Saccharomyces cerevisiae S288C: one gene and its partners. The gene in region 4 interacts genetically with the main gene of each other region. Each region holds a gene or a part of one and is shown on either strand. Other genes may lie near its edges. The genes, in order: APL6, PKR1, GCS1 and SYS1.

Region 1 (8,773 bases), on a different chromosome or scaffold from region 4:
TGAATGCACACCCATGTCTGAAGTTTGGCGTTCTCCCGAAAATGCTTTTCTTCATGGATGACGTGTAGAACCTTCAATGATTTACGTACAGTTTTTCAATCCCTTTAAGGTCTCTATATGTGGCGGCATCTTTTCTTTTTCTTTTCTTTTTTTTTTTTTCACTCTCCCTTTTAATGCCTCCACGGAGGTTCGAATGGGTTATACTAGAAAGAAAAAAAAATAGTGATAATTAACAATGAAAAAAAAAAAACAGCAACAAAATGTGGTATTGGGGTCACACCACTCATTGACTCACATCCTCTGGAAACATCAAAAAGCTACCAAAAAAGAAAAAAAAAAAAATTCAAGTGCGAAGTTTCCGCATATGCAAACCTTACTTATTGTATAATATTGGTAACAGCAGCTACTAAGCTCCCTGACTCTGATTTCTCTCTCTGTCTCTTTTGAGGAGTACCTTCTGCGCTACTGTGTTCCAATGGTATCTGCGCCTTGAAAATCAATCACAAACGCTCTTGCTATGGCCTGCCTTGGACACGATACGTCGCTGCTTATGCCGCCAGGTGTCAGTAAATGCTCTGACGCACCCATTCACCCCGCGCACTAATTTGCAAAATTTGGGGGCAGTTTGGGAATACTCCATAGAAAAAATCGACTTCAAATCAATTCCGCACAACGTCGCCGTGTTGGCTAAAGTGAACGGAAAATGGACGACATGGTAAAAGAACAGATATGTACATATACAGAAGCCGCGATTTCACATGCCGGCCATTATGGCACACAACCAGGTCTTGTACTGTCACTATGTGCGTTCCGGAACGCCTGTACAGTCCATGGTGAACCATTTATTTATTTATTATTATTATTTTGTACATTATTATTTATGCTATATGTTATTATTATTATCACTATTTAATATTATTATTCGGGTCCAGGTGAAATAACAAAGTCTGGCGCCAGTCACTTGTCTGGGTGCCCGTATTCTCTGTTACAGCGGTATCCCTCTGGATTCTGCAATCGTCGCCGGCTTCTACTAATTTTTCCTTTCCTTTTTGTTTTTTTTTTTTTTTAGTTTTTTATTTTCTAGTTTCCTGCTCGTATTCTGTTGGTTTTTCCAGTGTCTCTCTCCTTTTACAAGTCACCCATTCTCTGCGAAGAAGCGGTCGCACCAACAAAATAGAAAATACCACCGGACGCCGGATCGCTTATTACTCGCAATCATAGTTACCAATCACAGCCGGGCATACTCGGGATCTACCGTAGAATCCTATGCGTCACACATGAGGACAGGTTACGAACCGTCGAAGGCTTCGCGGCGTGTGTGATTAGTATTGTTTTGACCTCATCCATACACCCTGAAATATCTGTCGCATCTCCGATTACGTTAAAAATTCTGGATAATATATAAACCATGAGTTTTCCTTTCTTTGAAGTATGTTCCTACTCGAGATCCTTTTGTTATTTTATTGCCATTTTTTTTTTGTTTCATATGTACTTCTTATCTACTATTTATATTTCTCTATATTAACTAACTCTCCAAGCTATAAGCATACGTCCATATTTACTGTCTTAGAAGTCGTATTCACATCACAGTTTTCCCCCTCTTCGCCTTTTTCAAACTATTTTCCCCCGTGAGACAGCGACTGAAAAAAAAACGACTGCGCAGAAGGCTTATATAAAAAAAAAAAGAAATATTTCTTCACTTTCGAGCATTGAACTATTGTCATTACCTCTAGATGAGCAACAAATTTACAATGGAGTCACCTAAGCATTTGGTGGATGATGTGCTTTTCATATCACCCACCAATGATGGATCAGAAGAAAAGCCTACGGAAGTCACGTTCCAGGAAGATGAAGGCCATGACGCTAGCTTGCATAATCGCAGCCATGACAAGAAGTCGGAACTTGCCACCGAACGGGAAATTATGGCTACTACCACGGATGATGACGGCATCCCCTCCCCTTCCCATCCAATGGAAAAGCGTGTCTTGCGCAAAATGGATATATACTTGATTCCTCTTATGGGGATGCTATATTTCCTTTCTAACCTGGATAAATCGAATATTGGTAACGCAGAAGTTGCAGGTCTATCCAAGGATATCCACCTTGTAGGAACGCAATATAACACATGTGTCACAGTTTTTTTCGCGACGTATGTTCTTTTCGACCCCATAGGTACTAACCTTCTGAAAATTATGGGTCCGCCATTAATGATGAGTATCTGTTTGACCTGTTTCGGTGCTATTTCGCTCGGAACTGCTTGGGTTAAGAATTATGCTCAATTGATCGTTGTCAGACTACTACTGGGTGCCTTTGAAGGTATGATTTATCCCGCTATTAACATGTACCTTTCAGTCTGCTATAGAAGAGAACAATATGCTCTGAGGTTCGCTTTTGTCTTCAGTGCAGCCTGTTTGTCTTCATCTTTTGGTGGGCTGATTGCTTATGGTTGTTCCAAAATCAGCGGTTCTCTAAAGGACTGGCAATACATTTACATTGTCGAAGGTTGTATCTCTTTGGGGTTCGTACCATTCTATGCCTTCGGGTTGAGCAAAAATTTGGAGGATTCGTGGTTTTTCAATAAGGAGGAAAAAGAGTACATTTCCGAAAGATACAAGACTATGAACACTTTTGACCCGGACGAAAAATTTGAATGGTTCCAAGTGTGGCAAGCAGTTAAGGATGTCAAGACTTGGGCTAGTGCTGTGGCATTATTCGGTATCGATTTGACTACTTTTGGTCTAACAGTCTTCTTGCCGATCATCATTACCAGTATGGGGTTCACTAATGTCAGAGCTCAATTAATGACCGTGCCCATCTATTTCCTTACAGCAATTGTGTTCTTCATTTGTGCCGTTTGGTCTGATCGTATAAAGTTGAGATCTCCATTCATCCTGGGTGCTTGTCTGACGACTTCGATAGGCATAGCTATCGTCCTTGGTTCTCAAGTTCATGGTGTGAGATATTTTGGCGTTTACATTCTTTGTATGGGTATTTACGTTAATGCTGCCTGTAACTGTTTATGGTTAAGTGGTAACACTGGTAATTACTTCAAGAGAGCCACCGCTTTAGGAATTAATCTATTTTTCGGGTCTGGTTCAGGGTTGGTCTCTGGTCAAATTTTTGTTGCCAAAGACAAGCCAAGATATATCAAAGGGCTGTCGATTAGTCTGGCCTTTCAAGTCTTCTCCATATTTATGACGGTTGTGCAAATTTTCCTATACAAGAGGGAAAACGATAAAAAGAAAGCAATAATAGATCGCTGTAATGAATTGGGAGAGCCTATTCCATACGACGAAAGGTTAAGCGACAAAAACCCTGAGTTTAAGTACATGTATTAGGCTTGACTTTCTTCACCCTCCACTTTTTTTGCCCCTCGTTATGAGTGTGTTTGCAATTTGTAACTTTTCTTTTATATTTGTATGTATTTTTGTACTAAGCAAATTCACATGAAACTTTGTTTACCAACTTCTCTTTTGTTTTCGTCCCAAACACGTATATTACTGGGAAGATATACATGCCTATATCTATATCTATAAATATACATATTTATATAGTATTATCTCCGAGTTCTAAAGCTCCAGATGCGAAGAAGACGTTCCCGAAGAAGACGTTCCCAAAGAAGAGTCACTATACTCATCATCGTCACTGCTCTCTTCCGATTCGTCTTCATCCTCGTCACTGCTTTCTTCCACCACCTTTATAATTTTCCTTGGTTTACTCTTCCTTTCTGGAATGTCGGAAAAAAACTCGTCCAGGCTTTGCAAACGATATTTCTTCCCGTTTTGAGATGTGAAGGTGTTTACGTTACCTTTACCTGAGATGCTATTGCTATCGCCGTCATTGATCCCAGTCAATTTTGCGTTGGAGCTAGATGTGAAAGATCTTGCTGAGTTGTTGGTAATAAAAGACTGCGATGAAAAACTTTTTTTGTATTTGTTATAGTCTTTCAATTCTGCGCCTTCTCTAATATCGTTACCTGTCTCGCCAACCTCAGTAATTTCAGTATTCCAAGGAAGCATTCTAAAAAATTCTTTTATTTCTGGGGTATGTGTTTCCAATCTTGCAGAAACGATAAAATCGTCACTTCTTGCCGTAGGTTTAGGTGCTTGTAATAGTAGTGACACAATTTCATATTTCCCTGAATCAAACAAGGATGAAATCATCCTGGCTCTATCCCTAATATCAAATTCGTCATCATATTTTGCCAAGTAAAGGACCGCATTGTACATTTGAGAGATTCTTGAACCACTAAAATCATAGTATGGGGGATTTTGGTTATTTTCTTCGCTTCCAGTAACTTGCGCTTGCTTAAAATTATCAATGTCATATGACAACAGTTTTGCTGATAACACTAAGATCTGACATCTTGTCTCAGGACCCTCATTTGAAAAATTCTGGATTAGCCTCCTCAAAACGTCCGGACATATCTTAAATTCAATCGAGGCAATTTCACCAAATAACCAAACAATACCTGCACGAGCATTATCAGCCAAACTCGTTTGAACTGTTAATAAATCTGCAAGCTTGAAGATTATGCGAAGATGTTTTGTAGGATTTTTTTGCACCAGCATCCTGATAACATTCACGTATGCATCTAGGACAGAAGCAGAGAGGTTGTGGGATTCCATATGATCAATTAACCACTTCATTACATGTGATTCCCAACTCGTTGACAATTGGCCACATCGAGATAATGACTTAACCGCCATAATAACAACATTTTCTGGGAAATGAGCACTGGCAACATAATATTTCAATTCTTTGAATATTTCTTTAACGTTTGATTCATTTATTAACGTGGACAAAATTTGGATCTTCCAAATTGATGCCACAATAGGATCTTTGGGGAAAACGTAAAATTTCTTGGTGTAGGGTAAAAATAGTGTCTGGTCTAAGATCGATAAGAAGTGAATTGCTTGTAAAAGCATTTCTTTGTTACCTTGGTTTTCTGTCATGGTTACCGTTCTAACCAATGCTTCAATAAATTTAGTATTTTTCATCTGCAATGGTGAAGCTAACTGATATAGCGCATTGCAACACGATAAAATCACTGTAGGGTTGGAACTATAAATTAAGCAATTCAAACTCTGTAGAAATAAATCTAAATCAGGGTCATTTACCACCTCGTAAGATGGGTATTCAATCTCGTTGTATTTATCTGGTAAAGGACAACTCCTTGGGGAACCTTCTGATGATTTATCGACCACAGTTGGTTTTGGTAAATACTGCTTACAGTACTTGATTAGCAGCTCAATTAAATATGATTGTGACCACGAATCTAGTTGCTTAATTATTCTACAATATCTGCGAAAATGTCCATGCAATAGCTCCAAGTGATCCGCATAACATTCTTTGTAAGCTAGGACAGCACAGGATATCACCTTAGGATCTGTATCTGCCATTAATTCTTTCAGAATATCCAACAATTCTTCATGATAGTCATTCTTTCCAGCCCTATATAATTTGATAATGGCCAAGGCGACTTCACCACGAACCATTGCAGATGGATCTGTAACCAATTTCTTGACAGTATGCAAAATTATAGGTGCTAATGATGACATTTTCATGTCAGAAAGGGCACTCAAAGCAAAGCATCTCAGTTCGGAATTCGAATCAGACAATGATTTTTGAAGAGAATTAATAGATAACAGGGTCAGGTTTGGGTCATTTTCTGCAAATCTAAGTAAATACAGGTGAATAAGTCTTTTCACTTTGGTGTCATTAGTGGTGATATTCTTTACAACATCAGCAAAGTATAATTGAACGTCAATAGAGTCATCATCGGAAGCCATTATAGATATTATTCTCTTCATTGCATCTCTAACTTCTCTAGAGTTCCTAGAATTTAACAAGGTGACTAACTGTTGAGGATTGATGTTTTGAGAATAATAAGTATAGGAGGATTCACCCAGCTTAGAGGTGGCTACCGCGGCAGCTTCCCTCGTTATTACTTTGGCCGTATCCAACGCCGATGCAATACGGTGAATTGAATCTACCATTGCTGGTTGTCCACTTTTCGATTGTTTGCTGTCTTTGGTTTACCTTTCTTTTCTTTATATATTTATATATATGGTTCTTCAAAAATGATTTGTCTGAATTTGTCAAAATCTCAATAACTCGGACACGCTTTGATGGTAACATACCTAAAAGTTATGTACGTTAATATAAATTATAGATACATATTATGTGCAGCGATATACAGGCAGTACGCTAGCATTTATATTATCCTAGCATACTTCTCTTACGACCACGCAACCTGACCTCTTCGAATCTTTTGGTAACTTCTTTCAGTTTCTTGGCACCTTTCGCACCTTGTTCACGATAGACCTCTTCGAACCCCTCCATGATCCAAGCATTGTATTTTTCCGCATGCTTCGAATGTGTACTTAAAATAGCTCTCTCTAAGACGTATAAATCGACGCCTTTATCTTCGACCAGGTTTGAAACTGAGCCCAGACCGAAATCAATCAAATGAGGCGTCCATCTCGCACCATCTCGCACGAGAACAATGTTAGAACTTGTCAAATCACCATGACAGTAGTCATTCCAGTGCAACAACCCAATTTGGCGCCCCACTTTCCGTAGTGTAGTTGCTACAAGATCACTATATGGATCTTGGTCATGCATCCAAAGGAAGTTCTTTAGGTTACTAAAACCGTGCCCTCCGGGAAGATCTTCTCCAAGGAACTCTAACCAAATGAATCCATTGTATGGATCACACGCTATCAGTTGAGGGACACATAGCCCTGGAATCAAGTATAATTTGGCCAATAAACGCGACTCATTCAACGTACGATGTTTTGTTAGTGCCTGGTCTATTTGTGGATGTCTATAACGCTTTGGTGGCCTATATTTGATAATATACTTTTGATGAGAATCCTTTGCTCTTGGGAGATATGGGTGAGTAGTCGTTGTGAAAACAATGGCTTCTGCACCTTGAGAAATAGGTGCAATGTCCACATCAGGAGTCAGGTAGGAAGATACTTTATCAATGAATTCTTGCGTCATAATGAGCAAAGCGTATAACCTTTTCCGCTGTCGTATTCATCACTTATTTGATTTCAAGTAAGGTTATCTTTGTCCTTCAAGTTGGTGATGCGCCGGCGATTTTTTCAACCTTGTTGCTGCTAAAATAATGGAAAATCAAAATAAATTTGTGCTGACCCAAATATTTATGTATATAAAAGGGGTTATGTAATTGTCATTATGACAAATTCAGGATTGCATAAACTCAAGAATGCGAGCGATAGATGGTATGTTGGTCCAGCGATCCATATTACGAGAGTAGTTTAATATTGGGCCCGTATGATAACCTTGGTGTTCAACCAGCACATTTTTGGCGGTAAAGTGGTTACATCCCTCGCTAGCGTCACTCATTTTCTTTGCCAAGATCTTGTTTTGAAAGCTCAACAACTCATCACTACCATAAGTAATCATCACAGAGCACTTTTTCAGAATATCTTGCCACATTTTAGTTTCGAAATTCTTTTCAATATTAACAAAAGGGTCGCTGGTAAAATCGACGTTTGGGTTGTTTCCTACAAACATTCGCCCAAACATCGAATGACTCTTCAAACATAGACCATCCCATTCTTGTGTTCCTTGCATATATTCCTTTTCTCCCTCGTGGAAGAAAGTGGCATTGGCCCAGGGACTTATGGCTATGACTTTTTTCGGGTATATTTCTCTGTGACACTTTCTTAAATATAAAACAATGTTCAAAACAGCATTGCCACCAGCAGAATCCCCCATAATCACTACATTTTTGCACCCCATAGTCTTAACAACGTAATCAAAAATGGCCACATTTTGTAAAATTTGCAGAGGGTACTTTTTCGACTGGTCATCGGTAGCTGTAACGGTATAATCTGGTACAAGAATGGCCATTTTAGGAAAGGCATTTCGCATATTATTCAAGAAAGAAAACGACGTAGGCGTCAATTTAAGAGCATAACCACCCCCATGATAGAATACTAAAACTGGATCTGTCGTGGGGTCAAATCCTTCCGGCATAACATATTGATAAAACTTTGTGCTAACTATTTTGGGTGCGTTTAATTGATGGTCTTGGAAAATATTGTTTTCTGGAGATTTCTGATCTTCTATAGGAATGTTGCATTTGACATATGTTGGACTAGAAAATGTAGAAGGATATAAACAAACAAATAAAGGATTGAGCACGTATTGACAGATGCGTTCATCGAGGATCCAAGAACTTTGTCTTAAAAAACTTCTGTTGACATGGTCAAGGCAAAACCTACGTTTGCGTTGAAAAATGATCTTCATACTGTCGAGGATTATAAATACAGGCACCACTGTGAACAATAGAGCGGCAAATTTCAATCCATGGAACAAATGCAAATGGATGGTACTCAATCGAAAGCCCGCATCATTTTGATCTGCATCCTCACTTGATACAGCGCTAATAATTTCATTCTCTTGAAGCCGATAATATTCAACTTTTGAGTCGAGACCAGAGTTGGCTGCCATTCTTCTTTGAAACCTTTTCCTTTAAAATTGATTTGTGCTGTTCTCATTTCAAGCGACGCAGGGTATTTTTGGTTTTCAGTTTCTTTTTCCCTCAATTCTATATAATTATGGCGCTAACACGTTAAACATTTGTTATTATAAAGCAGAAGTTATTTATCAGAAATCAAATCATGAATATTCTCAGCTTAACACTACACAATTACTCAACTAAAAGAAAGGGTATAAACGTGTTAGCGGGAGAATTGTTTTTTAAACTTGTTTTTATATCAGAGTAAAATCTATA
Region 2 (6,764 bases), on a different chromosome or scaffold from region 4:
ATCATCTTTGGCTGAGAGCTATCTTCTCCACTAGTTGATCCGGCGGAAGTTATGTCTCCTCTCCTAGCATATAACGGTTCATACGGTTTGGCTAAAGTATTATCAAAACTGAAGTCTTCTTCTGAAGCATTCATGCCATCCTTATCGTAGCTAACTGGGGCTGATTTTGTTTTGGAGGGTGAACCATCCATATGCGGTACAAAATTATCAGATTCTGAGGCGGAATCAATATTCAACGGCAGCGTATTGGAGATGAACGATCTACGGGAAGAGCTGGACATATGAGAAACTGCTGATAAATGACCATCGCGATTATTTTTTTTATATAGAAAAGTATCATTGTTGATGTTTTCCTGGTTCATGGATATGTTGACATTACTTAGTCTCCTGCCATTGCCATCGGATTCACGTCGCTTAATGGTAGCATCTGAGACATTTCTTTTGGGATCTCTTTCCGGTATGGATTGTAACAAAGAAGCCCTTTTACTAGTATTGAAATCAAAATCGACCTCGTTCGTTGTATTCATTTCGCCATTATCCGAATTTGAGTTATACTTTCCGGGAGAGGGGAATTCTTGTGCGGTCACGTATTCATTGATATCAGTAGAGTTTTCTAGCTTATACATACCTGTTCTGGTATTGATGATTCTTTGCTTGGAGGGAGAATCACTAAATGTGGATGAGAAAGTCGACAAGGACGCTCTATTGGCGACTGCACTTTCACTTTCCAATTTAAGATCTTTTAAACCAGTCTCTAGCGCACTCGCAGGTCTTAAATTTAAATCGTCTGATTCATGTGAAATTTCCTCCTCTTCATTTGCTTCAGTATTTTTCTCAGCTCTTTCCTTTTCTTTTTCTTCTACTAGTGCTTCTCTCTCACGTAAAGATTTTTCCATTTCAGCTAGCTTCCTTTCTTTTTCCTTTAACTCGTTTTGTTGAGGAGTGGATAATTGCAAAACATTCAGTTTTCCCTTGTTTTCAATAGGTTGATCAATGTTCACTTGTTTTTTTAGTGGTGAAGATCCTTGTTTTGTAGAGTTAGGCATTGCTGTAGCATCAGTAGGAGATGACGGAGAGAATGTAGTCAGGGAGTTGTTTTGTACGTTCGGTATTGAATAAGCTGAATTATTCTTTGAGGAAATTGACGATTGACTGATTGGCTGTTTCATGGACACAGCTTTACGATCGTTGTCATTTGGTGACCATGGATTAAACCCTTGGGGAACGTTCTGACTTTGTAGAGACATTGTCCGATAGCCTTCAGACATTGGATGAAGTTGAAGTTGTTGTTGTTGTTGTTGTTGTCTTTGTGATATCTGCTGATGACCTGCGAATGGCCGAGGATTTTGGGGTGAATATCTTGGGCCATTAGTTAATGACAGAGTACGTGGTTGCTGAGGTGGCTGTTGTCCAGAGGGCATTACTGGTGGGGTATTCTGGAATTGACCTGGGTGATTGTTGTAGTTGTTCATCGGTAGCATTCTTTGTTGCTGCGGCTGTCGAAATTGTCCGGGAGGTCCACTCATCAACGAATTTGATCTCGAATAATTAGCGCTCACCATTTTATTCGGTTGAAATCTAGGATGAGGAGTGGGTGCTTGCATTAAAGGATTACCATTCGGGAAACTTTGCAAAGACATTGCTCTCGGAGGCAACGAGGCTAATGTACCATTTTTAGTTTGTTTAGCCATGGCATTCATTGCGGTTTTCCTTTGATTAGTAATGTACTTCCTATACTCAGTATTACTCATATTGCCGCGGTCTTTAGTCACCAATGTTGGAATGATAGGAGTGGAATCACCACCATATCCATATTTGTCACCGCCCTTGTGACCGAAGGTCTGAATGTCATTGAATGTTAGGTCGGAGTTTGCAGAATCATCCAAGATAACCTCATCGTCATCATCACCATCTCCACCACCTCCTGTCCCCTTAGTGTTTTTCTTTGACTTCCCAAATTGATGCTTATGTTTGAAAAAATTGGAAAATGAGCTCTGGGTAAATGAGGAAGCTTTCTTACCATTAACATTATCGCGATTATTGCTTAGTGATGGTTTGGTGAAGTTATGCTGCATGAGGGGAATCTCATTCATATGTGGATTGGAATACTCAAAATTATACTGTTGTTGCTGGCGTTGCTGTTGTGAATAATTCTGCATGGGAATTTGACGTTGTTGAAGTGGCGCTTGTATTGGAGCCTCATTCATGCCATTACGGTAGTATTGCTGCTGCTGCTGCTGCTGCTGCGGCACGGAAGAAGGCTGGATGTTAATATTGCTGTCATTCCCGTTCCTTGAAATAGGTGTTTCATCCCTAATGTCAATATTTCCTATATCATTATTCAAGAGGTTATTTCTCAATTTAACTCTAGCAGAAGACTGACCGTTTCTTGTTGCCATGGTCGATAAACCTGCATCCATTTTGAACTTTTTATAAATAGTCTTTGAGTACTTTTTATCCCACTGCTTTATCGGATCAGGCTGTACCTCTCTGCTCTTTTTGTAGGGTTATTAATAGCTCGGTGAAAATTAATGAAAGAAAGCTCCAAATTTAGCTATAGCCGTAAACTAAAAAAAAAAAAATTAGGAGGGCAGTCACTAAAACAAAAAATCAGAATTCCTATGCAATGTGCTGCTGACACAGTTACTTGAAATGCCTATTTATTCACAATTTGAAGGGTTTGCGATGCTGAAAGAGTTGTTCTATTCAGTCGCACGCGTTAACTCTTTGCATGTGCTTCATTTGTCCATAATTGAGCCCAAAATTTGATTTAAAAAAAAGGAATTTTTGAAAAAAAAAAAATATCAGGGGAGACCCTGAAGCGGACAAAAAAATTTACAATTGCGGACATTTACCCGGAAGCTCTGTGATATACTAATAACAGAGATAATTATGTAGTCAATTATGTATCTGTCTATGCTTTTCTTGACCTAGATTGTGCTTGAGTCCGTCTGGCAGTACTAGTGGATTTCCCGCTTTCTTGCTTGTCTTCGCTGTCTTCCTTGATGGCACTGTCGTCCTTTTTATTGGCATCTTTATCCAGCTCATCATTATCCTTCAATTTGACGTGTGATAATTCGTTTATAAACCAGATAACGGTAATCCATAGTAAAAGTGATATACAGAAAAGAGCATAGAAGTGGATATTCCCGTTTGTGGCATAGATGAGCCAGATGAGGGTCAGTAGTAGTGCAACAAAAGATACGTGTGTGGCGATGATCAGCTGGGGGGAGGTCCCTGGTTCAAATACACTTTCCCACAGTCTAACAAAAAAATTGGCCATTTTGAGAAATTTTCGAAGTTATATCCCTGCGATTTTTGGCACTAATCAATTAGATGGACGTGTTCTTGGATATGACAAAAAGAAAAGACCATCTCTATTTTTCTTCATTTGATTTTCAGTCAAGCAAAAAACGCCGGGTAAACGCAGTCAAAGAAAATTAAAGAACATCTGCTATACCCTACCATGTTCTTAAAATATGAATGCGCTATTCAGGTTCATAGGCAAAGTTTTCACATGTCACTCGCCAAATAAAAATCAAAATTGAAATATATAGGTAAATAGATTGATAAAAAGACGTAATTAATCACCTGTACATCTTCAATTGGAGTTTCTGAGACACCGATATCTAGGACGAAAGAAACAACGGTAAATGATGATACCGTGCTTCGAGCAGACAGGGTCAGTAATCATACCAACAGAAAAATTCTCTTTGGTATAAGTAACGGTGTTACTGCCGGAAATACTCCCGAGAAAAACAGAACCTTCACTGGTTTTAATATTCACCTCAATGTAAGTGATGGTCTGACTTTGCCCTTATAATTAGCAGCAGCAGGAGTGGCGACACCAGAGATTAGGCACTAGTGAGGAGAAGAGATAGTCTGACTGGCCATTTTAGTTAATGGATATATAGTTTCCCATCTATTGAAAGGAGTGGAAACTATAACTGAAAACTGGGTTCTTGAGCAGGAATACTGCTTGTATACTTTTCTTGTATTTCACTGCTTCCTGTCCGATGCGCTAGCACGATGGAGCTCGGCAAAGAAAGACAGAGGAGAGAAACATCCTGAGGATTTTGCTTTGTGCAGAAAAGGTTCCATCCCTGCAATAAGGGTCCTCTTTGCTGCGGAAATTCGAAGAAACGAGATAACCATCCTGGGTTGTAGCGACCTCATCACCACCTAGACCCCTCGGTATGCAGCCAAAATCCATTTGTGTTTGCCTAAGGCACGGAATGGGAAATAAAGTATTTTAGATTGCATACGCATTTTCCCTCTGGGTAGGGAGTTGGTAAAAAAAAAATAGACAGAGTAGATTCGTAATAACTTAAATGGCTAAAGCGTGGGTACATCAGTGCAAACAAATACGATATTACCGTACCAATTGCACACTTCTTGGTAAGAAAAACTGGGAGCACACCTTACCCATAAAAAAGTGCATCGTTATTCCCATGGATAGGAAGAATAAGAATATATCACTCCTGCCTCCAGAATAGTAAATCTGTTTTCTCAGTAAATTATCCCTTTGAAACCTTACTGGATTTGGCTGTCATTGGTCGTAATTGCCCACAATTGAGGTTGCATTCTAAATGTTTCTTCCAATCAAAAATCAGTTAGATAAGTACCTTGGATGCCATTACATCGGGAAGCCCCTTTACTCAGAAGCCCGTTAGTTTCTTGAGTACTCCGATATAATTCCCCTATTTCTACAAATGCTACATAAAAAAATGCTGTGAATAAAGTCGCTAACAACAACTACTTATCGTGACTTGTCTAAAAAAAAAAAAACCTACATTTCAGAGTTAAAATAAATCTAAAGGTGCCACTGGAAAGAGTTATATGCGAGCTCCAGGTTCATATTCAAAAACATGACATCTTACTTTCTCTCGCGGTTGTGACCTCCTTCAATGAATTTGATATTGCTAACCAACAATCATCAATATTTTTGTTTTACCCGTCTTCTCGTTTTCTGAACGTGACACTAGCAATGTCAGACGTTCATTCTCACTTTCTGTCACGTGCTCGCATTGCGAGCAAAAAAAGCCTTACCACCACTCGATTAATCTAATGAGTTGCTGTATTAATAAATAAATTTTTATATTAAAATATATTATAGGAAACATGCAATGGCCCAATTGGCCTAAATATATATAACTCCCACAAGTTCGCCCACCTCTTCATTGGTTTAACTAGGCGTCAACCGCGAGTCCATTATGATATGATTTTTATGTAATTTTTCTGTTAATCAATCGTTCCCTTTGATAGTACAATAAGCAGAAGGAAAAAAAAAGGCTTTTAGAAACTTCTTAAATACCGGTGCCTAGGACGAAAGAAACAGCAGCAAATGCGGCCATGATGATACCGTACTTCGAGGAAACAGGGTTTGCAACCATGCCTGGAGCAGCGTTCTTTGAACTGGAAGTAGTGTTCTTAGCGGCACTGGAACTAGCAGTAGAAGTAGCAGAGACGGAAGAGGCGGCAACGACATTGTTGGAAACTAAGGCACTGTTAGTTTTGATGGAGGAGGAAGCGGAAGCGGAAGTGGAAGTACTGCTGGCCATTTTTATTCAGGTTATTTGCGATTAGGTTGGGGTTTGTGTTTGATGGAGACCTCAGTAATTAACAGTACATTCTGAGAGCGGCAAACAGAATTCTGCCTTAAATTCAGATCGTTTATATACTTTTTTTTCACTTTTTACGCTCGAGACACCATAACCCAAAAATAGATCAAACTAGCCATTGTATTTTTCACCAATATGGCAATGTGATTTCCGCATTAGGCAATACTGTGAAAGACTCTATGCTACGTCAGTTCGGAGGCGTGTTTCGCAATCTTCGCGTTCCAGAACGCACCAACGCGTTGTTATTTGCGCAGCACAAGGGGGACGAGAGACATTCTGGCCAACGTGCATTCGACGGAAGTAAATTTCGGCTGGAGGCTAAGCGCTGCTTTACTGCAATTTGCATCATTACGGTGGCTCGCAGGGATAGATTGGGCGTACTGGTTTGTGGCAAAAACACCGCCTCCACGCTACCTTATTTGCCAGCCAACCGCATATTCAGGTTGCCAAAGGTACAGATCAGGAAAATGTTTCCCATTGGATGCGCAACTTTCCTTAGTAGGGAATATATAATCACTGCATTGCTGGTTTCGTACTGCCATCTTTGCGTTTAAAGTATAACCAAATTAATAAAGCGACTACGCCGCTATCCAAAACAGGCTCCTCCAGCTCCTTTAAGGAAACAAACGTCTTTTTTCTTTACTCTTATTTTTTGCACCGATTGCTAGAATACTTCTCCAATCTCTTCAAATGATGATACAAACATGTAGTCAGTAGAGATGTATCTGTCTTGATGCTCCATATGTCGTTACCCGGAAAACATCTTTCTTGTTCCTTTCGATACTTTTCCACGTTTTCAATTAACCGGAGCCATTGATAATTTCATTCACTCTTGAGAAGTTAGCGGCAATAGTAATCGGCGAAAGCTACCGTAAAGACAGTCACAAATTACCTACCACACAAGCAATGGGAGCCTACAAATATTTAGAAGAATTAGAAAGAAAGAAGCAATCTGATGTTTTGAGATTCTTGCAAAGAGTCAGGGTCTGGGAATACAGACAAAAAAATGTCATTCACAGAGCCGCTAGACCAACTAGACCAGACAAGGCTAGGAGACTAGGCTACAAAGCCAAGCAAGGTTTCGTTATCTACCGTGTCAGGGTTAGACGCGGTAACAGAAAGAGACCTGTTCCAAAGGGTGCT
Region 3 (7,524 bases), on a different chromosome or scaffold from region 4:
GCCAAGTCAGGGTATGAACCATACGATCAGTTTTCGTGAACCTGGTACGTATATTGTGGCGTTTGTGTATATTTTCATTCTTTGACAACAATCAATACCAACCTCAAATAGGAAAAGTAATAAGTTTGGCGTTACACCCCAAAAGACGCCAAACGGATCGAACTTACTCAATAGCAATTAGCGAGACAAAACCTACGTTAAGACCTGTAACCGATTTATCAAAGCACTCTGCGGTTCTTTCTTGGGAATATTACCTGGACATTTTGTGCCCTCAAGAAACGAGGCTCTACGAGCCTGTTGGAGCCCCTCAGACATTAGCCGCCACGAATCAAACTTTTTACGCGATTCGGCCCAAATCAGTTTCTCACAGATCATTCGTAGAGTGAAAAAGCACATCGATTATTTGATACCCCTTTGGGTTAATTACTGTTGAGGTCTTTTCTATTTCTGATTGAAATTTTTGCTCCAGCATTATAGCATGCTGGTTTTTTTTTTAAATTGATGTATCTCATCGCAGGCACGGGCAGTACAGTGCCCTGAGCGTAGGGAAAAATGAAAAAAAGGATGTAACTTTTAACATAATTCCAGCACGCAGCGATTGGGTATAATGAAGATTGTTAAGTTCAACAACATGTGAAATTCTTAGCTCCGCAACTTGCTTGAATTATGAGCTCTAAGATTCAAGAAGTAAATAGGTCATATAATGGAATGATAGTAGTACTTGATAAAGGAACCATGTGATCTTACGTTGATATGAAAATAATTCTCTCACAGAAGTCAGTTTGTATGACTAACATAGAGAGTAATTGCTTTTCGGATAAAATCGCACCTAACAAAGATTACCTTTTGTAAAGCCTCCAGAACAGCTATGAATGTTCGTTATTCTACGCACTTTCTTTCATACATCTTGATCCGCCTTTTTTGATGTAGGTTTTAACGCGGCAAAACATATTAATTTTTCTGATTTGGAAAAATAAAGAGTTAGTTCTGCCACGCCATTTTAAGTCCAAAGGCACAATTTTACGTTGGAACTAAACGGTAAAGATCAAATATCACCTTTATTCTTTTTTGGTATGCATCGATTTCTTTGCCAGTAAGAACTACGTGCAACTCTACATTAGATCAAAATATAACGGATCATAAATGCAAACAACATTTGTCCAAAAGAAACAAAAATGTTGGCGTTTGTCTCGAACATGACACAATACTCCTTGATCGAGGGACATTGCCCGATTAACTATGATTTATACTTTTTACTACAGGTACTCGTTCTCCCTACTATTTCACCAGTATACGGTCGTTTTATGATTCATTTATTGCCTATAATGGTAAAAAGGGACATCTTAACCTTACGTGTTGCAATGAGACCATTCTTTTCGATTCATCAACTGTGAAATTTCTGAAATCCAGTACAATGCGAAACGCTACCGATAATGGCACCGTCTTTTGAATTATGAGGCCCAGATATGGCGTTCAATCTTCAACAAAAAAATGAATATCAAAACTAAATTCTATCTGGATAACAATCTTTCTTTGGTTTGCAGAAATATCATTAAAAAACAATCCATAACTACTAAGGAAGGGTATAAATGGTTTGGTTTACTAATTTTATATTTTGATTTGATTAGCAATTATAATCTCTAATATACTATTTCTGTAGCCAAAAATCTGCAATGTCAATAAGTAGCAAGTGCCGCTTACTCGTGAGAATATCAACCTTATAGCATATGTTTTCTATTTTTTTTTTTTGCTTATGGAGATAATGAACATTGTACACATGAACAAAGTGGTAGTTCTCTCTCCTTGATTTTTTGTGCTTGCGATATATATAATTGTTACATTCAATGGCCATGCTAAATAAAGGTTTTAGCTTTGTTTCACTCGTGCCCAGGATAATTTTAAGGCGCAAACATCCAAATAATGAAGAAAAGGATAACGATTGTCCCAGGTCTAAAACATTTTTTAATAATAGCCGTCATTAGCCTTGCAACAGTACAACAACGCCGATGGGAAAGGATTGCAATTCTATTTGTAATTAATAGGTTGTATAATAATTTACGATATGGCCTTGTGGTAACTATTTATGAATACTGGTGTAGACTTATTTATAATCCTAGAGAGTAAACCTCTTCTTGTCAAGATATGAAAAATACAAATTTAGAGACAGAAGTATTACGTGTAAACTTTACAGAACCACTTCTCCATTATAGCTACAATGTGAATTGAACTTTCCTTGAATGTTGAGAAAAACTATATTAAAATTAGAAATCGTCCCATTTGTCCTCGTCCTGTTCATTCTTCTTATCGTTATTATCAATCTTTTGATATTCTGTATGGGTTGTATTCCCTGCTGTAGAGCTATCCTCTGCATTACCATTGAAATTTTTAGTGAAGTTACTAAATGCTTGGAATCCATAACTACTCGTTTCTTGAAACTTTTGGCCAAACTGGGCAGCTGCTCTCTTCGTTTCTTCTGACAACTCTCCGGATTGCCATTGCTGGACGTGAGGCTTAATAACCGTTTCGTTTACGTCCTCGAACGATTTGGTTACAGCGCTGGAGAAGAGGCCCCATCCTCTGCTCAATGTTCCCAAAGGATCAGCTTGAAAATTTTCCAGGCTCAAAGTATTGCTGGACCCTGCAGACCGTTCTTGTGGAGGTTTTGCGGGTGTACTTCCAAAGCCCTGATATTTACCACCTTGAGAAGGGGGCAAATGATCTGGTCTAGATTGGTTCTTCTTGCCCAGCTCAGCAAAATAAGCTTCGTTCTTCTCCTTTTGAAAATTGGCACCATTACTAGAGTTTGCTGGTGTTGCAGATCGACGGTTCTCCAGTGGTGTCCCTTCTCGACTTTGAGCAACACCAGGCGTAGCGGATGCAGCGGTTTGAGAGGTTGCTGATAACTTGGAAGCATCAAAATCCAAATGCTCACGCTCTTCAAATACTCTATCTTCGCAAAGACATGTTAACTTTTCTTTATAATCCTCTGCGACGGGGTTATCGTATTTCACTTTTTGTGGTAAACTCAGGTCAATATTATGCGACTTGAACCATTCAGTCAAAGGTTCGTTACCACCTTTTTCCATACGAAGAAGTTCCTCCGGTTTAAACTGATCCATAGTGATAGATCTTACAAAAGATATATGCACACCAAGCCCTCTATGGATACCGGCACATTCAAGGCAAATGAAAGCTCCAAACTTAGGCGTGGCCCATTGTGGATTTGGCGCACCACAATCCATACATTTCTTATTTGCACCAATCTTTTGCAATTGCAAAAGACGCCTGCGGGTATCTGGGTCCACTTTCCAATCTGACATGCTCTATAATCCGCGATAAAATTGCTCAATTGGCACCATTTAAACTCAGAATCACGTCCATATTTCTGCTTTCATTCTTGATATAGTTGTGCAATTTGGTTCTTGACAAAAACTGGCGTTGCTTGCGGGTAACCGCGCGATTTTTAAAGTGCCAAACTGCGAAAAGAATATAACAAGCTTTCGAGCAAGATCAATGTACCCAGCAAGTGAAATAATAAAACAAGAGCCCCAAAGATCTGCTTATAATTGCTAGAAAAATATATTATTAATCATGAGCACTGCTTCAACACCGCCAATTAACTTATTTCGTAGAAAGAAAGAACATAAACGTGGGATCACATACACAATGTTACTATGTGGGCCAGCAGGTACAGGAAAGACCGCCTTTGCTAACAATCTATTGGAAACTAAGATCTTTCCGCATAAGTATCAATACGGTAAATCAAATGCTAGTATTAGCTCTAACCCAGAAGTAAAAGTTATTGCTCCGACAAAAGTTGTTTCATTTAATTCGAAAAATGGGATTCCATCTTATGTTTCTGAATTCGATCCAATGAGAGCCAATTTGGAACCAGGTATTACCATCACCTCCACTTCATTAGAACTTGGGGGCAACAAAGATCAAGGAAAGCCAGAAATGAACGAGGATGATACCGTGTTTTTCAACTTGATTATGACGCATGGTATAGGCGAAAACTTGGACGATTCGTTGTGTTCTGAGGAAGTTATGTCGTATTTAGAACAACAATTTGACATTGTTTTAGCTGAGGAAACCAGAATTAAAAGGAATCCGAGGTTTGAGGACACCAGGGTTCACGTAGCATTATATTTTATTGAACCCACTGGACACGGTCTGAGAGAAGTCGATGTAGAGCTCATGAAAAGCATCTCCAAATACACAAATGTACTGCCAATAATAACAAGAGCTGACTCATTCACCAAGGAGGAGCTAACTCAATTCAGGAAAAATATTATGTTTGATGTGGAAAGATACAACGTCCCAATTTACAAATTTGAGGTTGACCCTGAAGATGATGATTTGGAATCCATGGAAGAGAATCAAGCCTTGGCATCCTTGCAACCATTTGCTATTATAACTTCAGATACCAGAGATAGTGAAGGTAGATACGTTAGGGAGTATCCGTGGGGGATAATATCAATCGACGACGACAAAATTTCGGATTTGAAAGTTTTAAAAAACGTCCTGTTTGGTTCTCACTTACAAGAATTCAAAGACACCACGCAAAATTTGCTTTACGAGAATTACCGTTCCGAAAAACTATCGTCCGTGGCCAACGCTGAAGAAATTGGTCCTAATTCTACAAAGAGACAGTCAAATGCTCCAAGTTTAAGCAACTTTGCCTCTTTGATAAGCACTGGTCAATTCAATTCTTCTCAAACTCTTGCAAACAATTTGAGAGCGGACACACCAAGAAACCAAGTAAGTGGAAACTTTAAGGAAAACGAATACGAAGACAATGGCGAACATGATTCAGCAGAAAATGAACAGGAAATGTCTCCCGTGAGACAGTTGGGTAGAGAAATAAAACAAGAAAATGAAAATTTGATAAGATCTATCAAAACAGAATCTTCACCAAAATTCTTGAACTCTCCGGACTTACCAGAGCGTACCAAGTTAAGAAATATTTCAGAAACCGTTCCATATGTCTTGAGACATGAAAGAATTTTAGCAAGACAACAAAAACTGGAAGAGTTAGAGGCCCAGTCAGCTAAAGAATTACAAAAAAGAATTCAAGAATTAGAAAGAAAAGCACACGAATTGAAATTGAGGGAAAAACTAATAAATCAGAATAAACTAAACGGTTCATCATCTTCAATCAATTCTCTACAACAGAGCACAAGGAGCCAAATTAAAAAAAATGACACGTATACTGATTTAGCCTCTATTGCATCGGGTAGAGATTGAGTTGTATCTGTACAAAATCCAAAGCTGAGCAAATAAATAAATAAATAAATGTATAAGTTACCGAACGGGGGTATTTTTACTTTTGATCAAAAATTTATGTACCAACTACAAAGTTTCCTCAGCACAGCCTTCAAGAAGGGAACACACATACAAACAGTGTCAAATAATTGTAGGGATAAATTTAAATATGGCATAAACTAAATAAGTAGAGCATGAAAAAACTGCAAAATCCAAAAAGTAAAAACGAAGGTCAGAAAGTAAAGCAAAAGAAAATTAATAAAGCAATACTAAATCTATCATGATTTCCCGTAACTTCCATTAAAGCTGTAACCAGATTTACTCCTACTGTTTGAGCCTCTAACGCCTAATGGATTTTTAGAGAAGCTCAACCTGATACCTCCTTTGTTGTTGAGGGAAGGGCGGGGGTGAGGTAGTTGACTACCATATAATTCTGCCAATGCTCTAGTGGCAAAGCTAACATCCTCAAATTCTACAAAACAAATTGGACCATGGCCATGACCGTTGCCATGACCGTGAGAGTTCATTTTATTCCTGAAGGATAATCTACGAAAACCTTGCTGATTAGAAAACAATTGCCTTAATTCTTGTTCCGTGGCATCCGGAGGTAGATTACCCACATAAAGAGTATTACAAGGAGGATTTTGGTCCGCGGGATTGGCTGGTGGTGGCACCTTGGCTAGTAGTGATAGGTCAGCCTGTGAAATAGTTGTGGAACCTGCCACATTTGTTTCGTTATTTTTCGAAAATGCAGAGGCAGAAGCTGTAGAAGAACATTCTTTCTGTCGTGATATTGTACTGGTGTCTTGTTCACTCACTAAAAAGCCTTGATTCACCTTTTGGTTGTTGAATATTGAAGACCCGTTAGGAGCAGAAGATTGTGGGTGGCCATTTTCCGTTTGGAGATTCAGGTCCAAATTGGAAGGAACATTCGAAACGCTCTGCTGAATACTTTGTGTCTTAGTTGAAGCATTAATTTGGTTCAATAAGTGATAATGCGGTAGAGAAGTCGCGGAATGTATTACTCCTGAATTGTTCAGATTAGGTTGTGATTGAATATGTGGAACATCCTGGCTAATTGAATGGTGGGATGGAGGCAACAGATTAGACTGATGATTTTCTTGGCTAGATAATTGAAAAAGAGGAATATTAGCAGTTGAGGAAGCATTCCACTCCATCACAGGCGTAGATGACATCGGAGGCTCTTGTAAAGATGCACCAAATGAAGAATTACCAACATCATTAACTAATTCATCACCATTCCAAATACTTTCATTTATTTCATCCTTTTCTAGTAGCAAAAGTGACTTGCCAGCGTCCTTCTGAGGTGGCATTCCTGCTGGAACTGGTGTGGTGGTTACGTTTGATAAATCATGTTGTGAGATGCTATTTCGTAGAAAGGGTACGGATTCTTTTCTTTGAGAGATTGTTTCCAATCCGAATGGGTCATTGAATGAGAAACGGAGGGATCTCTCTGAAAGTAATGAAGGCCTTGGCTTGGCCGCTGAAGGCCCTAATGGAGAGGAACTAGTTTTTCCATATGATATAGTATTAAAACTTTGATTTTGAATTTCATTTTGCGCACTGGACGACAATTGGTAATTCTTTGGAGAACTATTTGTAGTGCCAGATGAAACATGTTCTTGAAAACTCACTGGAAGCTGCGTTTGTTCATTTACTACGTCAATGTGAGACCTAAAGGGGAAACTAGGCCCAAAAATCTCAGACTTCGAGTTTAATATATTAGCATAATGGGTTACTAAAGAAAGGGATCCAAATTTGACCACAACGACTTTTTCATTGTCATTAAAGGGTTCTCTATCATCCCTTTTTAGTTCTATACTTGACACCCCAGTTGCTAGTGAAAATATACAATAACACTCTCTTAGTGTAATGTCTTTTGGCAAATTCCTCAGCAAAAGACAGTAGGGGCCAACATCCACATCATGTGGGGCTAAAGAATTGACGTCATTCCCGTTCCCTTTCCCCGTGGACATGGTCAAATTATGAAGCATAGAAGTCATAATAGGTTCTTTTGCAAAACCTTGCGGGTTCTCTCTTTTAATGTTAGTCTCGCTGTTGCTCCTAACTGCGGAAAAACTATATGCAGTTGGCATGGGATATGTTGCCTCCTTTGATAATGGAACGGTTTCTGAACTAGAACTAAATGCCCTTTCTATAAGAAATTTGGATTCGTTTAAATTCGTCTGATTATGCACTAATGACATTGTTAATTGAGAAACCTTAAGCGTTATTTTT
Region 4 (7,155 bases):
ATACATCTTCCTGCAGCGATTCCTCTTCGTACACTAACGCGTATATGGAGGCCAACCGAGAGCAGGATAATAAAACACCGATCCTGAATAAAACGAAATCGTATACCAAGAAATTTACATCCTCTTCGGTAAATATGAATTCACCAGATGGTGCCCAGAGTTCTGGATTATTACTACAAGATGAGAAGGACGATGAGGTCGAGTGCCAACTGGAACATTACTATAAAGATTTCAGTGATTTAGATCCAAAGAGGCACTATGCTATTCGTATATTCAATACTGATGACACTTTTACGACTCTCTCATGTACTCCAGCGACTACCGTCGAAGAGATAATACCTGCACTTAAAAGAAAATTTAACATTACAGCGCAAGGGAATTTTCAAATTTCCCTGAAGGTGGGAAAGTTGTCAAAAATTTTGAGACCAACTTCGAAACCTATTTTAATTGAAAGAAAACTTTTACTTTTGAATGGTTATCGAAAGTCAGACCCACTTCATATTATGGGTATAGAGGATTTAAGTTTTGTTTTTAAGTTTCTTTTCCATCCTGTCACACCTTCTCACTTTACTCCTGAACAAGAACAAAGAATAATGAGAAGCGAATTTGTTCACGTAGATTTAAGGAATATGGATCTGACTACACCTCCCATCATTTTTTACCAGCATACGTCAGAAATAGAAAGTTTAGACGTTTCTAATAACGCAAATATATTCCTACCTCTGGAGTTCATTGAAAGCTCGATTAAATTATTAAGTTTGAGAATGGTTAATATTAGAGCATCTAAATTTCCTTCCAATATCACTAAGGCGTATAAACTAGTATCTTTGGAATTACAGAGAAACTTCATAAGAAAAGTACCGAACTCAATCATGAAACTGAGTAATTTAACGATATTAAACCTTCAATGTAATGAGCTTGAAAGCCTACCGGCTGGATTTGTTGAACTGAAAAATCTGCAATTGCTAGACTTGTCTTCAAACAAGTTCATGCACTACCCAGAAGTTATTAACTACTGCACCAATCTTTTACAAATAGACCTATCATATAATAAAATCCAAAGCTTACCACAGTCCACTAAGTACCTAGTAAAGCTTGCGAAGATGAACCTTTCTCATAACAAACTAAATTTTATAGGCGACTTATCGGAAATGACAGATTTGAGGACGCTGAACCTAAGATATAACAGAATATCATCAATTAAGACAAATGCGTCTAACTTGCAGAACCTTTTTTTAACAGATAATAGAATTTCGAACTTTGAAGACACTTTGCCGAAACTAAGAGCCCTTGAAATTCAAGAGAATCCAATCACTTCTATATCCTTCAAAGATTTTTATCCAAAAAACATGACAAGTTTGACGTTGAACAAGGCACAGTTATCGAGTATTCCTGGAGAATTACTCACCAAACTATCTTTCCTCGAGAAACTTGAACTTAATCAGAATAATTTGACTAGACTGCCACAGGAGATATCCAAGTTGACTAAATTAGTTTTCCTTTCAGTGGCGAGAAACAAACTAGAGTATATTCCACCCGAGCTATCTCAACTGAAAAGTTTGAGGACATTAGATCTACATTCTAACAACATAAGGGACTTTGTTGACGGTATGGAAAACCTTGAACTAACATCGCTAAATATTTCATCGAATGCATTCGGTAACTCTAGCTTAGAAAATTCTTTTTACCATAACATGTCATATGGGTCAAAGTTATCTAAAAGCCTGATGTTTTTTATTGCTGCAGACAATCAATTTGATGATGCTATGTGGCCTCTTTTCAATTGCTTTGTCAATCTGAAAGTGCTAAATCTTTCTTACAACAATTTTTCAGATGTATCGCACATGAAACTTGAGAGCATTACCGAATTGTACCTCTCCGGTAATAAGCTCACGACATTGTCGGGTGATACAGTTTTGAAATGGAGCTCTTTAAAGACTTTAATGTTGAATAGTAACCAAATGTTATCTCTGCCTGCAGAATTATCAAATCTCTCACAGCTAAGTGTATTTGATGTTGGAGCAAATCAATTAAAGTATAATATATCAAACTATCATTACGATTGGAACTGGAGGAATAATAAAGAACTAAAATATTTGAATTTTTCAGGAAATCGAAGGTTTGAAATAAAGTCATTTATAAGTCACGATATTGATGCTGATTTGTCAGATCTGACAGTATTACCTCAGTTAAAGGTACTAGGTTTAATGGACGTAACTTTAAATACTACCAAAGTACCGGATGAAAATGTCAATTTCCGTTTAAGGACAACTGCATCAATAATAAATGGGATGCGCTACGGTGTTGCTGATACATTAGGTCAAAGAGACTATGTGTCATCTCGTGATGTTACCTTTGAAAGATTCCGCGGAAATGACGACGAATGCTTACTATGTCTTCATGATAGTAAAAACCAAAATGCAGATTATGGCCACAATATATCAAGAATTGTTAGAGATATTTACGATAAAATACTGATCAGACAACTGGAAAGGTATGGAGACGAAACAGATGATAATATAAAAACTGCACTTCGTTTCAGTTTTTTGCAACTGAATAAGGAGATTAACGGAATGCTAAATTCTGTTGATAATGGTGCCGATGTTGCCAATCTTTCATATGCAGACTTGCTAAGTGGCGCTTGCTCTACTGTGATATATATCAGAGGGAAGAAACTCTTCGCTGCAAATTTAGGTGACTGTATGGCTATTTTATCCAAAAACAATGGTGACTACCAAACGCTAACCAAACAACATCTCCCAACAAAGCGGGAAGAATACGAGAGGATCAGAATATCTGGCGGGTATGTCAACAATGGAAAATTAGATGGTGTTGTAGATGTGTCTAGAGCAGTGGGTTTTTTTGATTTGCTTCCCCACATTCATGCTTCTCCCGACATATCTGTCGTGACATTAACAAAAGCAGACGAGATGCTTATTGTAGCAACGCATAAGTTATGGGAATACATGGACGTGGATACAGTTTGTGATATCGCGCGTGAGAATAGTACTGATCCACTCCGTGCCGCAGCTGAGTTGAAGGATCATGCCATGGCTTACGGCTGTACAGAGAATATTACAATTTTGTGCCTTGCTCTTTACGAGAACATTCAGCAACAAAATCGGTTCACTTTAAATAAAAACTCTTTAATGACTAGAAGAAGTACTTTCGAGGATACTACATTAAGAAGACTTCAACCTGAGATTTCTCCGCCAACAGGTAACCTAGCAATGGTCTTCACTGATATCAAAAGCTCAACCTTCTTATGGGAGCTATTCCCTAACGCAATGAGGACCGCAATAAAAACTCACAATGACATTATGCGTCGTCAACTACGAATTTACGGTGGTTACGAAGTAAAGACAGAAGGAGACGCCTTTATGGTGGCATTTCCTACGCCAACTAGTGGTCTGACATGGTGCTTAAGTGTTCAATTAAAACTCTTGGATGCACAATGGCCGGAGGAAATTACCTCAGTTCAAGACGGCTGCCAAGTTACGGATAGAAATGGTAACATTATCTATCAAGGCCTATCAGTTAGAATGGGTATTCATTGGGGCTGCCCAGTTCCAGAGCTTGATTTAGTGACTCAAAGAATGGACTATTTGGGGCCGATGGTCAATAAGGCAGCAAGGGTCCAGGGCGTCGCTGACGGTGGTCAGATTGCAATGAGTAGTGATTTTTACTCTGAATTCAACAAGATAATGAAGTATCATGAGCGAGTAGTGAAGGGCAAGGAATCTCTCAAGGAAGTTTATGGTGAAGAAATTATCGGAGAGGTTCTTGAAAGAGAAATTGCCATGCTGGAAAGTATTGGTTGGGCATTTTTTGACTTTGGCGAGCATAAGCTAAAGGGACTCGAAACCAAAGAACTCGTTACTATTGCGTATCCTAAGATTCTTGCTTCCAGACACGAATTTGCATCTGAAGATGAGCAGTCAAAATTAATCAATGAAACGATGTTGTTTCGTTTAAGAGTCATTTCAAACAGACTGGAATCTATAATGTCAGCTTTAAGCGGCGGATTTATTGAACTAGACTCTCGGACGGAGGGAAGTTATATTAAATTTAACCCTAAAGTTGAAAATGGTATTATGCAATCGATTTCTGAGAAGGATGCGTTGTTATTTTTTGATCATGTAATTACTAGAATCGAATCCAGTGTGGCATTATTACATTTACGACAACAGAGGTGTTCAGGACTGGAAATTTGCAGAAACGATAAAACATCTGCTCGAAGCAATATTTTCAATGTTGTTGACGAACTTTTACAAATGGTTAAGAACGCAAAGGATTTATCAACTTGAGTTCTGTTCGTAAATTATGTACCACCCTGTTACTCGTTTCATATTCACGCTAGAGAAGTACCTCAGCTTACTAGATCCATTCACACATTGCAAGTATACTAAAACTATATAAAATTTAAGTACGTAAACTCTTTACTTATTATTATCTTCAATGTCATCACGTACTTAATTATGTTAAATATAGATTGTGTATAAATAAGAAATAGGATCTGTTTTGAAAAATTGGCCAAAAAGGCAGATTTATTAAGCCTATAGAGATAAGGTTCTTGCCATTTTTCATACATTTACTGTTTTCTCTTGAATGACTATAATATTGCCAAAATTGCCTCGAATATGTTGTTTCATCTCCTCTCATATTTGGCTTTCTAAGTCTTTTAGTTGTATTGGTGATTGCTCCAATTCTGAATGATTACTATGCTGCTGACTAGGCGTAACCAATCCAACTTCTCCTTCATTAGGATCAACCAAGCCCTCAAAAAAGGTGTCTCTAAGCTCTCTCCATCTTGTTGTCCATGTCCCCAAAAATATTAGTATTAAAGATGATAAAATTTGAAGAAAAAACCAAGAAAAAGAAGGAAATTTCCGAGTATAGAGGAACACCACAATAAAATTGATGGCATGTATAGTGATAGCAAAATCCCATGCGAGTTTACTCCGTCCAACGATAACAGTTAAGAAAAAAACACATATTAATGAATCCAGAAGCCATAACAGTGAGATTGATAAACCGTATGCGTTCGTAAAGTCGATATTCTCCCAAGAAAACAGCCATTCCTTGATATTGAGATCATATCCCGCTAGCTTCGCCCAACAATAAAAAAGAACGATCGCTGTGGTGTAATAAAAAATCTGTAAAAGAACAATTTGAAGTCCAATCTTACTTGGAGAGAGAGAATCTTGTTTGAAGATCTGGGAAGGTTTCAACTCATTCGGCACTCGCAAATACCTTCTTATCGAAACCATGTTACAGTAATTCAAATGCCTATTTTTTATCTCACTTCTATGTGTACCCTTCCTTAGCCTTCCTAAAGATCATCTCTTAACATGAAGTTACAGAATATTACCGTGAATATCGCGAGCTACGAATATTTTGGGTGGGGAGATATTTATTCATGATTAGCCTTGTCCTATAGTGTTACAATGGAGCAAATTGTTCACCGTTAGTATTTTGAATACGACAATATTAAATGAATAATAGCGCCTATCTCTTGTTACGTTTGGCGATTTGTATACCTTGTTAAATAAACTGATTAAAAGCCGGGTTATGGCCGTACACAAGTTATTAGAAAGCAAATACACTTCCTTATATCTGGTCACCTAGTTAATAAAAGGAAGTCTTTAATTTTGGCAAAAACCACTATATATATTAGTCAACAACTGAAATATTACCAGAATTTGTCTCCTAAATGTCGTTCAGCGGAAAAAAATTTAGGTCTAGAAGACAGCAGCTAGTATATGAAGCATCTTTAGCGGGGCGATACAAAAAAGCATTGAGTAAGCACCCCTTTCTTTTTTTTGGTTTACCATTTTGTGCAACAATAGTATTGGGTTCGTTTTGGTTGTCAAGCTTTACAGCGATCAAGTACGAGCAAGGCGATCGTAAAGTTCAGGAAATTAATGAAGAGGATATCTTGAAAATAAGGAAGAATCAAAGGGAATTTGATATTAAAGAAGAATATTATCGTTTACAAGGTCTTTCTGAAGAGGATTGGGAGCCTGTGCGCGTCGCTAGGTTAAAGGATGAATCTGAGAATGTCTGGTAACATTCAAAACGTGAACATCTTTGTTATTCTTCTGTCCTTAAACTACTAAACAAAAAAAACTATGACCATTGATTGTGCAAAGAAAAGACCACGAGAATGTCTAGGAAATGATTGTAAATACCTTTATTCATTGGAAAATTCTTATCTATAAAACTTATAAAAAATTAAATACTGAATTTATTGCTCTGCATCATAAGGTATATATCATTCAAACGTGAACTCAGTTAGTTACGTTCATGTTCAAAGTTTTTAAGACAAAAACTCCCATTAGTGCGGTGAAAATATAGCAAGCAATAGACAGAGGCTTCTTGAAAAAAGAGCTTTTCGGGTAGTCGTACTTTATCAAGACTTGGCCATTGGCAACTTGACTAATCAAATTTCTGTAACTGAAAGTTAATTTAACGTGACCTTTATTTAGGTCAAAGTATGATTTCTGGGTTTCTATAGAAACATTTGTAAAAGGGACTGGAGAATCAATATCGAATATTTCGGCCCCTTCCGGAAGAAATACCGATAATTCAACATTATCATATACAGTGTCCGGTGGGCCGTTTAGAATTGGGATAGAAGCAACGAATTTCTCGTCTGAGCCAGAGGATACATGCAAGAAATCGGACAATTTATTAGTCCAACCGACAGTAAAATTGTAGTTCCAACCTCCAAAGATTGGGAATCTTGGTCTTATAAAGAAATGGTCACGTTCTGCATGCGACGTGGAAACAAGGCCAACCAAATCAGTGAAATAATGATCAGTAGCTCCCTCAGGCAGGAGCATGTCTAAGACAGTAACAAAGTGAGTTTGTCTCATATTCTGAGTTTGAATCTGTTTCATTAATTCTAATCTTGAAAATCCTTTAGACAGTTTTGCGGCTTTGTTTGTTAATTCATAATATTCCTCAAATTGTATTGTGGAAGCCCAATGAGAAAGCCAAATATCTCTTCTCAAATTCACTACCTGATTCAATGGGGCATTGTGGGAATAAACAATTGCTAAGGTTTCGTTTGAAGAAAATCTCGGAATATCTTCCCAAGGCCCAAACTCAAAAGAGTTTCCATTAGCTTTTCCCAGTAAACTCTCGTCATTT

What was found.
Region 1: mutations in SYS1 (region 4) and APL6 together harm fitness more than expected from each alone (negative genetic interaction), as found in Saccharomyces cerevisiae (4 studies listed by BioGRID).
Region 2: mutations in SYS1 (region 4) and PKR1 together harm fitness more than expected from each alone (negative genetic interaction), as found in Saccharomyces cerevisiae (4 studies listed by BioGRID).
Region 3: mutations in SYS1 (region 4) and GCS1 together harm fitness less than expected from each alone (positive genetic interaction), as found in Saccharomyces cerevisiae (4 studies listed by BioGRID, with this or other methods).

The regions. Positions count from the first base shown.
Region 1 is NC_001139.9:1,010,752-1,019,524, forward strand, and holds APL6 (AP-3 complex subunit beta), read right to left. Parts: upstream 6,000-8,773; coding exon 3,570-5,999; downstream 1-3,569. Other genes in the region: ssDNA endodeoxyribonuclease RAD2, read right to left, coding at 1-15; TNA1 (Tna1p), read left to right, coding at 1,734-3,338; serine/threonine protein kinase BUD32, read right to left, coding at 6,223-7,008; SAY1 (steryl deacetylase), read right to left, coding at 7,216-8,490. UniProt on the Saccharomyces cerevisiae protein: Part of the AP-3 complex, an adaptor-related complex which is not clathrin-associated. The complex is associated with the Golgi region as well as more peripheral structures.
Region 2 is NC_001145.3:510,112-516,875, reverse strand, and holds PKR1 (Pkr1p), read right to left. Parts: upstream 3,284-6,764; coding exon 2,915-3,283; downstream 1-2,914. Other genes in the region: EPO1 (Epo1p), read right to left, coding at 1-2,420; NCW1 (Ncw1p), read right to left, coding at 5,307-5,561; YMR122C (uncharacterized protein), read left to right, coding at 5,801-6,175; 60S ribosomal protein eL15 RPL15B, read left to right, coding at 6,528-6,764. UniProt on the Saccharomyces cerevisiae protein: Functions together with the other V-type ATPase assembly factors in the endoplasmic reticulum to efficiently assemble the V-type ATPase membrane sector V(0).
Region 3 is NC_001136.10:48,854-56,377, forward strand, and holds GCS1 (GTPase-activating protein GCS1), read right to left. Parts: upstream 3,321-7,524; coding exon 2,262-3,320; downstream 1-2,261. Other genes in the region: septin SHS1, read left to right, coding at 3,592-5,247; WHI4 (Whi4p), read right to left, coding at 5,544-7,493. UniProt on the Saccharomyces cerevisiae protein: GTPase-activating protein (GAP) for ARF1 and ARF2. Involved in intracellular vesicular transport. Required for transport from the trans-Golgi network.
Region 4 is NC_001142.9:426,931-434,085, forward strand, and holds SYS1 (Sys1p), read right to left. Parts: upstream 5,271-7,155; coding exon 4,659-5,270; downstream 1-4,658. Other genes in the region: CYR1 (adenylate cyclase), read left to right, coding at 1-4,307; COX16 (Cox16p), read left to right, coding at 5,714-6,070; dolichyl-diphosphooligosaccharide--protein glycotransferase subunit OST1, read right to left, coding at 6,291-7,155. UniProt on the Saccharomyces cerevisiae protein: Necessary for the targeting of ARL3 to the Golgi. Involved in protein trafficking. May serve as a receptor for acetylated ARL3.